Linked DNA regions of Macaca fascicularis. The protein of the gene in region 3 interacts with the protein of the main gene of each other region in a biochemical or structural test. Links are inferred from orthologs where the notes say so. Each region holds a gene or a part of one and is shown on either strand. Other genes may lie near its edges.

Evidence for each region.
Region 1: of the proteins of SRPK2 (region 3) and LUC7L, one has a biochemical effect on the other in vitro, tested with the Homo sapiens proteins (2 studies listed by BioGRID and IntAct). The link is inferred for Macaca fascicularis from reciprocal best matches to the Homo sapiens genes SRPK2 and LUC7L.
Region 2: of the proteins of SRPK2 (region 3) and HNRNPC, one has a biochemical effect on the other in vitro, tested with the Homo sapiens proteins (2 studies listed by BioGRID and IntAct). The link is inferred for Macaca fascicularis from reciprocal best matches to the Homo sapiens genes SRPK2 and HNRNPC.

The regions. Positions count from the first base shown.
Region 1 is NC_088394.1:970,058-973,809, reverse strand, and holds the start of LUC7L (putative RNA-binding protein Luc7-like 1), read left to right. Parts: upstream 1-872; 5' UTR 873-983; coding exon 984-1,044; intron 1,045-1,920; exon of another isoform or gene 1,921-1,990; intron 1,991-2,978; coding exon 2,979-3,073; intron 3,074-3,752. UniProt on the Homo sapiens protein: May bind to RNA via its Arg/Ser-rich domain.
Region 2 is NC_088381.1:88,893,766-88,897,417, reverse strand, and holds part of HNRNPC (heterogeneous nuclear ribonucleoproteins C1/C2), read left to right. Parts: intron 1-1,846; coding exon 1,847-1,961; intron 1,962-2,553; coding exon 2,554-2,601; intron 2,602-3,652. UniProt on the Homo sapiens protein: Binds pre-mRNA and nucleates the assembly of 40S hnRNP particles. Interacts with poly-U tracts in the 3'-UTR or 5'-UTR of mRNA and modulates the stability and the level of translation of bound mRNA molecules. Single HNRNPC tetramers bind 230-240 nucleotides.
Region 3 is NC_088377.1:146,652,018-146,655,669, reverse strand, and holds part of SRPK2 (SRSF protein kinase 2), read left to right. Parts: intron 1-204; coding exon 205-687; intron 688-3,652. UniProt on the Homo sapiens protein: Serine/arginine-rich protein-specific kinase which specifically phosphorylates its substrates at serine residues located in regions rich in arginine/serine dipeptides, known as RS domains and is involved in the phosphorylation of SR splicing factors and the regulation of splicing.

The DNA.
Region 1 (3,752 bases), on a different chromosome or scaffold from region 3:
GCAGAGGCAGCAGATATTGCTTGAACGCGGGAGGCAGAGCCGAGATCAGGCCATTGCACTCCAGCCTGGGTAACAAGAGCGAAACTTCATCTCAAAAATAAATAAATAAATAAATAAAATATAATAAAAAATAAGAAAAGTTTTAATAGAAGTCTATGCCAGACTATGCACACATAAGTGCATGCTATAATTCTATTATCACATAAAGTAATTGCTGAGACATACCTGTTTTTAGCCCCTGGGACGGTAGACCATGAGCTCACAGAAGGACGACCACGAGGTTTTAATCATAGAACCTAATATTAATGCCATAACTGATGGCCAAACATGGTGGTTCACACCTATAATCCCAATACTTTGCCGGGCTGAGGAGGGAGGATAAGGAGCCTGGGAGGTCGAGGTTGCAGTGAGCGGTAATCGCGCCACTGCACTCCAGCCTGGGCAACAAAGCAAGACCCTCGCTCAAAAATAAATAAATAAATGAAAATAAGTAAAATTCCATGCTTTATTTAACTTTCACAAAAATCATATGAGGGACACCTTTAGAATCCTCATTTCACAGATTTAAAAAAAATGAGCGTCGGGGAGTTAATATGCTCACGGTTTCATGGCTAGCTTAGAAAAAGCACGGATTTATCTTGTTTTTGATAGACTGTATTTGACATTATTGTAGTTTACCCTCCGTAGAGACTCATTTGAGGTCCTGGGGGTCTAGAGTAAAATCAGCGTTGGGATTTTGGTTCCTTCCTTGGACAACTTCCGTAGACCACTCAGAACCTCAGTCTCCCCCAAGCACCCACCCTAGAAACTACATTTCCCAGCAGGCTGTGCGCCGGCGCCTTCGTACTTCCTCCCGGCGTCCCCCGCGGCGGGAAAGAGCCGAGTGGGCTCGAGGCCGACGCGACCATCATTTGTCGACGCCGCTGCCGCTGCTTTCCTGAGAGAAGCCGTCGCGGCCGTCCCCACCGCCTCCGCCGGCTACCATGTCCGCCCAGGCGCAGATGCGGGCCCTGCTGGACCAGCTCATGGGCACGGCTCGGGACGGTGAGTCACAGCGGCCAACCAGGCGAGGGTCTGGGGTGGGAGTGAGGCGAGGCCGCCGGGCGGCCTGAGGCGGGGGCCGCGATCGTCTGCGCCTGCGCTTGCGCGGGGCACCCCTCCTCCTCCGCCGCGCGCCGACCGCAGGCGCCGGGCCTTTGTCTAAGCCGGTTGGTCTCTGAGGCGGCCGTGGGTCCAGGTCCGGCTCCTCTTTCGGAGTCTGCGCCACGGATGGGGCTTCAGCCTCCTTCCCGTTTACCGTCCCGCTACTTCCTCCCCGACGGGCGCCGCGGCTCCGTGCCCCTCCGCGAACTGTGGAGTCGGCGAGGGGCTGGAATCAGCGTGGGCTCCAGGTCGCTGGCAGCCGGGTGGCAGAACTCCTCCGAGGCTCCTTGGGAAGAAGCTACACCCGAGGGAGCCGGATGGGCCTCGAAACCCTGACCCGTTCTGGTTCTGTACCATTGCAAGGGGAGCCGTAAACTGAGCCTTTCTAACGTGGGTTTCTGCCGAGTACTTTTCCAGCTCCCTCCTTCCCCCAGCACACAGGAGAGCCTCTGTGTAGCCAGCGCTTGGCAGTGGTTAGGTAGGTTGTACTGTGTAGGGAGGAGCTCAAGATCATGATGGTTGTCACAGGAGAAAGCGGTTGCATCTTCGCAAAACTATATACCTGCTGTGGTTTGTGTTTTCTTTTCTGCTGAAGTAATGAAGTTGTAAGTTCACACTGGCACATTCTCAGGGCTGTGCAGATTATTTGCACTTTATTTCATAGGTGAATAAGTGCTTTTTAGCTTTCTTTGTATATTGAGTTGCTTTTGAATTGCTTCCCATATTTTTATTTCATACAAACTGAACAATTGTGGCCCCTCTATTTTATTTATAAAGGTTCAGTGTATCTTTGCCTGCCTACATCAATCTGCAAGGGAGTTGCAGAAAGCCTCATGTTCATCGAGCCGTGAGTCACAACCAATTTCTAAGCTGTTATAACAAAAAAGTGTTTGCTTTTTTTCACAAGTAACTTTAAAAGTGTAGTTTAGAAAGAAAACATTTTCAATAAAAAGACACTACATTAATCCTGGATGCTTGCAAATCCTAAAATATATTCCTCCTCTAGCGTTGCACAGCTCTGTGTTGTATACACAGACTAGCTTTAGAATTTGTCACATACCACTTTGCCTTTACTTTTATGTATCATTCCCCCGACTTCCTTACTGCAGGTGTGGGCAAGAAAACTTTTCCTTTAACACTTTTCAACAGCGGGCATAAAATTCTGCAGCTGAGGTCTTGAAGAATGCAGATGGGTACAGTATGTGTTGGAGCTCACAGTGTGTATTGACTAACCTAGTTCCTTTTTGCTTTTTTTGGTATTGTCTTGTTAAAAGTGACTCCCAGGTAGCAACTCTCTTTTTTAAGGGTGGGGACGAAAGGGGCATAGGAAGAATAGATCTAGATTATTTAACAGTCTTCAATAGCGTTTGAAAGCTTTCTTCTTCATTCAATTTTGGGCAAAATACTGCCTCTGCATTTGTTCATAACTAAAAGATTAATAAGTAGCTTTTGTTGGTGGAAATTACCAGCTCTATAAGTCGCCCTTGGTGGTTCATGGACCTCTGATTAGCTTGGGTTTTGGAATCTCATTGCCACATGTATATGTGGAGCCAATGGCCTTTTGGTGCTCAGCTGCTTACATCTGACTCCTTGACTACTTTGGTACACTGATGGAGTCAGATCTCATTAAGTGTGATTCTTCATGATATAACTGGCCTCAAAAAAATGTGTATTCCACTCCAGTGTAAATATCTTTAGATCAGCTTTTCATTGTATTTGATGGGGAGAACACAGAAATGATAGACTGCAAATGATCCAGGTGAATCATTACACTAGTGTTTTCTTGTGGTTAACGTGATAATATTGTCTTATTTAAAACCACAAATGAATTTCAGGAGACGAAACCAGACAGAGGGTCAAGTTTACAGATGACCGTGTCTGCAAGAGTCACCTTCTGGACTGCTGCCCACATGACATCCTCGCCGGGACGGTAGGTGCATTTTGGGGGACCTCATGGAACACTCTGACATGAGTGCTGGGTAGGCAGTGATGGTTTTTCTGTGTTGAATTTTGTTTTAAGTCTTTTTCTCTAAGTGGCTGAATTACAGCAGGTAATCCTCCACTTGTATGTATGCATGCATGCGTGCGATGGAGTCTTACTCTGTATTGCCCAGGCTGAAGTGCAGTGGTGTAGTCACAGCTCACTGCAGCCTCGAACTCCTGGGCTCCAGTGATCCTCCCGCCTCAGCCTCTTGAGCTTCTGGGACTACAGGCATGAGCCACTGCTCCTTGCTCAGTCCTCCACTTTTTAACAGGCAGAAATCCCTGATGCCGTTTAAATGATAGATTCTATTCATTTGGTAGGATTTTATATTATGGTACAAATTTCACTGTTGTAAAATTCTGTCTGTAAGATTACCAGATTTTTTTGTAAAGTCATTTATACTGCGATATTCACAACTAAATAGGGCAAGTATTCTAATTTGGCTGTAGCAAAAAATACGCTTTAGGTCAGCCTGAAGTTCTTTGAAGATTCTGCGTGGGTTGGTTTGTTTGACCTCAAGTTGAATGTGTGGAAGACTTTTGATCTACAAAGGTACATTTTCTTCCCCAGATTATTTGGTTTTTAAAAAATCAGTTGAGGATACGTTGATTTTGTAGTTTTGTGT
Region 2 (3,652 bases), on a different chromosome or scaffold from region 3:
GCTGATGCCTGTAATCCCAGCATCTTGGGAGGCGTAGTTGCGCTGGTCATGAGGTCAGGAGATGGAGACCATCCTGGCTAACACCGGGAAAAGCCGTCTCTACTAAGAATACAAAAAATTAGCAGGCCGTGGTGGCGGGCGCCGGTAATCCAAGCCGTTGAGGCAGGAGAATTGTTTGAACCCGGGAGGCGTAGGTTACAGTGAGCCGTGATTGCACTCCAGCATGGGCAACAGGGCAAGACTCCGTCTAAAAATATATATATATATGGAATTTGTATATTTTGGGGCATGTGTGTATTAAAATGAGACTAATTTTAAAGCAGTATATATGAAAATGGAGGTATTGTTGACTGAGTGCTTTAGCACGACTGGGAAGTTAAAAAACTGAATTGGCTTTCTGACATGGGGTTTTTAGAACAAGGAGAAGATGAATTCTTGTTTGGAAGGTCATGGGTGGCAGGGTAGGTAGCTGGGCTTATGTGTTACAAATTGTATTTGAAAACTAGGGTTGTTTCCCTTTGCTCTTTTATTTTTTTGATATATGTAAAGGTTATTTAAGCAACTTATGAATTATTCAGAAAGCAGTTGTTAACCCCGGATGTTTTACATGCAGTACAGCTAATCCTTACTTATAAGGGAAATCTGAAGTTGCCTTTGAGGATGATTTGAGGGTGTCACACTGCACTATATTGTTTTGTGGATTGGCGTATATTTTAATATATTTGTAATAATTCGGAATGAACTGAACCATTCTTGGAAAGGTAACCATTGATAGTTTTCTCTTGTAATAGTAACTGAGTGAACAGTCAGTGCCTTGAATGGGGAGAGTTGAGTTAAAGTGGGATCTGAGGGTGGAGAGTACCAAAGACAGACTTAATGTTATGTCTCAGGAACACTTTAGTGGTACAGAACAGAGTGCAAATACATAGAAGATGAAGTCTTAGCCTTGTAAAAATTTATGAGCCTTTTTAATATTAAAAGGAGAGATGAAGCTCAGCATGGTAGCTCACACCTGTAATTCCAGCACTTTGGGAGGTCAAGGCAGATCACTTGACCCCAAGAGTTCGTCCCTATGAAAAACAGAAAAATTGGCCGGGCGCGGTGGCTCAAGCCTGTAATCCCAGCACTTTGGGAGGCTGAGATGGGCGGATCACAAGGTCAGGAGATCGAGACCATCCTGGCTAACCCGTTGAAACCCCGTCTCTACTAAAAAATACAAAAAACTAGCCGGGCGAGGTGGCGGTCGCCTGTAGTCCCAGCTACTCAGGAGGCTGAGGCAGGAGAATGGCGTGAACCTGAAAGGCGGAGCTTGCAGTGAGCTGAGATCCGGCTACTGCACTCCAGTTTGGGCGACAGAGCGAGACTCCATCTCAAAAAAAAAAAAAAAAAGAAAAAGAAAAACAGAAAAATTAGCCAGCGTTGGTGGTGCCTGCTACTTGGATGGGAGGATCACCCAAGCTTTGGAGGTCTAGGCTGTATTGAGCCATTATTGCATCACTGCACTCCAGCTTGTATGACAGTGAGACCCTCTCTTAAATAAAATAAAAAAAAATAGGAAAGATGAGTTGTTTTGTTTCATATTTTCTAATTTTTATGTCTGTGATTTTCTAAACTTTGTATTAGCTGGGCATGGTGGTGCCCGCTTGTAGTCATAGTTACTCTTGAGGCTGAGGCAGGAGAATCCCTTGAACCGGGCAGTGGAGGTTTCCGTGAGCCTAGATGGCACCATTGCACTCCAGCCTGGGCGACAAAGCGAAACTATGTCTCAAAAATAAAAAAATTAACTTTGTAGTTTGTTTTACCTGGATACAAAGTTGTCACTAAAATTTTTGCTTTTGTTTTTCAGATATTAACCTGGCTGCAGAGCCAAAAGTGAACCGAGGAAAAGCAGGTGTGAAACGATCTGCAGCGGAGATGTACGGGTCAGTAACAGAACACCCTTCTCCGTCCCCTCTACTCAGGTCCGGAAACTTTATTATTTATAACTGCATTGTGTCCATCAGTGGGCATCTTCTCTATCTGTTTTCTGGATGTGGGGAGGGTTAAGTGTACTGTGTTTTATCTGTGTATAAATAAGGTTTCATTATTTTTGTGTTAATATGTCTCTCTTTTGCCCTAGCGAAAATTACTAGAGAATTAAAAATCCCTGAGGTTTTTGCTATTGATGTTTAGGAGTAGTTTGATATTTATAGCATAGCCTGAAATACTTCTACAGGATCGTTGAGCTTCTAAGACACCAGAGAGTAAGAGAGGGAAGAAGTGTGGTATAAGAATGTTTAGTTTACCATTCTGTTTTTCAGTGTTCAGTTTAACTATGTCGTATGTGGAAATCTTAGTGAATTTTAACCTGAATTACCAATTTGACCACTACATTTCCAGTGGTCTAAGGTGATTGGAATTGAGTGATTTATTGTATGAATGATTGGGGATCATTCAGTGCTAATCTTGTTGATCTATCTGTTGTGGTTTATTTGGCATGGTTCTCCCCTCACCTGATGTTGTGAATTAGTAGCAGCGTTTCCAAATTAACCCTTTTCGGTATTTATTTTTCAGCTCCTCTTTTGACTTGGACTATGACTTTCAACGGGACTATTATGATAGGTATGTTAAAAGTGTTTTGCCTTTCTGCTAAACAGCTATTAATGAGAACCATTTTGTTTTTCTAGTTTGTGGTGATGAACATCAAAGATGTTTCCAAACATACTCCCTTTCCTCCAAAAGAAAAAAATAACCTTAAGTAGATTATTAGGTAGGGTGATAATGATTTTAATGCATTATTTCATAATGCCTGTTTCTACTAAAAATACAAAAGAATTCGCTGAGTGTGGTGACTAGGGACTGGGTTATGGGTGGCTTTGGGTAATAGATTTAGAACTGATGATAGCAAATACTAAACAAGAAATAGAATGATGTGCTTAAGAGTGTTACCACATTGACAATCTGATATCAGTCTCAGTTAACATGAAGTAAATGTTAGACTTATTTGGCTTGTCGTGTTTAAACTCATGCAGTATATGTAAGTATATGGAGCAAACTATTATATGCAATACACTTTAAAAATGCAATATATAAAGCGCATTACTTTATATGAAGCATAGTACTACTATTTGTCTTAGAATACCAGTATTCTAATCATTAGTATTTTAATGTTATTGCTGTATATAACAATTCTGTCTCTGATTTTGGAGTAAAAATTACTGATTGACAAATGCTTAACGTTTGAACTGAGTTAATCAGTCATCCATGGGAGTTGTGTAGAGGAATCAAGTCAGCTGTTAAATACCATAGAGTATACACTGAAAATGTCAGACATGAAAGTATACACTTTCTGTTTGAGAAATAACGTCATAGAATATGGCAGGTAGTCATTAAAAGGCCAGAAGAGTAAGGCCTGAAAAAGAATTTAAATCCAGATTGTAAAGGGCCTTGAATGCCCTATTAAGATGGTGCGGTTGAGCATACTTAATGCATCATCAAAATGTTTTTTTTTTTTATTTGACATTAGCGGTTTCCTCAGATTGTTGTTGTTGTTTTTTTTTTTTAAGATGGACTCTTGCTCTTGTCACCCAGGCTGGAGTGAAGTGGCGTGATTTTGGCTTACTGCAACGTCCGCCTCCTCGGTTCAAGCTATTCGCCTGCCTCAGCCTCCCAA
Region 3 (3,652 bases):
TATAAGAGCAGGCCAATTATTAAATGAATGAAAAATGAGATTTAGAAAACCTGAAGCTTTTACCCCAAAAGCAAAGAGGTGTTTACTAGGTGGTACATAAGTTAAACACATTCAAAACGTGTTTTATTGATGGAGATAAGTACTTAGTGAGGCCGTATTAAGGACAGTAACAAGTTCTTATTCTTGACCCATCAACTTCTTAAGGTGAAGCTGAGGACCAGGAAGAGAAAGAAGATGCTGAGAAAGAAAACATTGAAAAAGATGAAGATGATGTAGATCAGGAACTTGCGAACATAGACCCTACGTGGATAGAATCACCTAAAACCAATGGCCATATTGAGAATGGCCCATTCTCACTGGAGCAGCAACTGGACGATGAAGAGGATGACGAAGAAGACTGCCCAAATCCTGAGGAATATAATCTTGATGAGCCAAATGCAGAAAGTGATTACACATATAGCAGCTCCTATGAACAATTCAATGGTGAATTGCCAAATGGACGACATAAAATTCCCGAGTCACAGTTCCCAGAGTTTTCCACCTCGTTGTTCTCTGGATCCTTAGAACCTGTGGCCTGCGGCTCTGTGCTTTCTGAGGGATCACCACTTACTGAGCAAGAGGAGAGCAGTCCATCCCATGACAGAAGCAGGACGGTTTCAGCCTCCAGTACTGGGGATTTGCCAAAAGGTAAGTGTTCTTCCCATCAACTGTCTGCCATTACTGACTCCAGGGACGTGCCGTTAACAAATGCTATGAAGGAACTGGCTGGAAGTGGCCAAGCCCTGTTTGTGTGTGCTAATCATTTTTATTACTTTTATACTCATGAAGAAGTAATGTGATTTAAATACATGTTCTATGCCACTAGACTATCTCTTGCTCTCTGCATACCAAATCTTATTTCTGATCAGTTCTCATTTTTAATATATTTATAGTCAGCAGCATCATTTGCAAAAACTGGAAGGTTTTTGTAAAAAGGTTTTTGTAAAAAGATGTAAAACTACATCTTTCTAGAATGTGTAGTTTAGTTTATCATTTGTATCTTCTTCTATCTGATATTATTATAGTTTTTTTTGTTTTGTTTTGTTTCTATTCAAGAAAAGTATACCTCCTCTTTGACTCTATTGAGAAAGAAGTGTCATATTGTCTTTTGATATTTGTTCCTGATTATAGGACCCTACTATTGATAACGGGCCCAGGATTGTAATTTTCAAGGAATTGGCATGGATTTAGATGTGATGACAGATTATAGGTTGGCTCTTGTGTTCTTGTCTACCTAAGAAGGCTTGACTTATTCAAACCTTTATTTTGGGAGTCAATGCTGAGTGACTCTAGTAAGTGAAACTGGGTAACACAGTTGGTTTCCATTCTGACTCATGGTGGAAAAGCTCTGAAACCTCCTCTGCTCCCTCTGCTGACAAGACTGTTTAACACACAGTGAGTAATTGATGAGCCAGCCGTGCAAACCACCCAAGACATTATACAGCCCCTTTGGTTCCAGAGTCTGGAATTGCACGCTAAGTGAGCTGGCTTTGTTACACGCTGGCTATGATGAATCCTCCTAAGGATTTGCTTTCTTTACTTGGCTGGACGTGGTCAGCTCCTGTTCCCCTGTATAGGGAGTGTTTGAAGGTGCTTACATAGAATGTAGGTTCATGTCTGGGAAAGGGCAGTAGCGAGATGTACCTTATCCAGATTTATTGTTGCTGTTGCAGTTCAATTTTTCTCTTGAGGTTTCTTTTTTCTTTTTGAGATTGAGTCTTGCTCTGTTGCCCAGGTTTGAGTGCAGTGGCGTGATCTCAGCTCACTGCAACCTCTGCCTCCCGGATTCAAGCGATTCTGCCGCCCCAGCCTCCTGAGTAGCTGGGATTACAAGCATGTGCCACCACGCCTGGCTAATTATTGTATTTTCAGCAGAGACGGGTTTTCACCATGTTGGTCAGGCTGATCTCAAACTCCTGACCTCGTGAGCCACCGCGCCCGGCCGAAGTTTCATATAGAAAGTAATTTACAAAGTATCTTTTTAATTATTTCTATTTTATTTATTTATTTATTTATTTATTTATTTATTTATTTTGAGACAGTCTCAGTCTAGTTGCCCAGGCTGGAGTGCAGTGGTGCAATCTCAGCTCACTGCAACCTTTGCCTCCTGGACTCAAGCAATTCTCCTGCCTCAGTCTCCCGAATAGCTGGGATTACAGGCGCCTGTCACCATGCCTGGCTAATTTTTATATTTTTAGTAGAGACGGAGCTTCACCATGTTGGCTAGGCTGGTCTCCAATGCCTGACCTCAGGTGATCCGCCCTCCCCAGCCTCCCAAAGTGCTGGGATTACAGGTGTGAGCCACCATGACCAGACCAAAGTACCTTTTTTATTTGTACTTAGTTTGCAAGTATTAGCTTAGGCTGCAGTGGCTTCAGTTACAGCCAACCCTCCGTATCCATGGGTTTTACATCTGTGGATTTCACATCCATGTGCTCAGCCAGCCTCAGATGGAAAACAGTTGGAGGGGAAAAAAAAAAACCTGTGTCTTTATTGAACATGTACAGACTTTTCCCCCTTGTCATTATTCCCTAAACAATACAGTATAACAACTATTTACATACCATTTACATTGTAGCAGGTATTATAAATAACTAGAGATCAACTAAAGTATATAGGAAGATGTATGTAGGTTGCATGCAAGCACTATACCATTTTATATCAGCGACTTGAGCATCTGTGGATTTCGGTGTCCTCAGGATGTCCTGGAACCAGTTCCCCGCAGACACCGAGAGGCACCCACGTATCATCAGATTAATCCCCAGCTCAGAACTTAATAACTGTGGAACTTTGGTTTCTTATCCTGTCTGAGCCTTGGCTTATTCCTCTATCAAAGGAAAGAAATGGCTACCTCTAGGGTTGTTAGTAGCACTGAGTTAAATACAACAGGTCAATGGCAAAGGTAGATAAATAACATACAATAATATATTGAAAAATTTCCCATTGAATGTAAGTTGCCTTGGTCATCACAATCCATGTAAAGGAGCACAATTGCTGCTTGTTACCACGTGGTCACCATCGAGGCCCAGGCAAGTCATAAAACTTACCCTGTTGTTTACATGACAGCTCCATCTCTGTCACAGGAAACTTCAAACCTTACATGTTAAAAACCAGAATACAACTCACCCTGCCAACCTGCTACACATGCTGTATTTCCTGCGCTTGTTACCACCATTTCTTGTTGCGTCAGTGAGAAACTTGATCATCAGTATGTCCCCCTTTTTTCTCTCACATCCAGTAAATCATCTCGTTTTGCTAGTCATACCTCATAAGTAGGGGTCCTGCTTGCCTTGGCCCTACAGTGGGCACTGTCATTGCTTGCCTCTGCTGTTACGGAGGCTCCTTACTGGTCTCTTGGCTTTGTGTTCTCTCCAGCTTTTCTCCCCACCTGCCTTTCAGCATGCCCTTCCATGGTGCTGCTAGAGTGTCTTTGCAGTATGCTTACCCGATCAGTGTATTCCCCTGCTCACAGTTTCCACAGGTCCCCATCATCTACAGCAGTGGTCTCCACAGTGGAGAGTGTACATCCCTGCATAGCCAGCACCATCCAGGAAGGTGCAGGAAGGAATTATTAGAGCATCTTTGTATTTTTTTTTATTTTGAAAGACTAGTA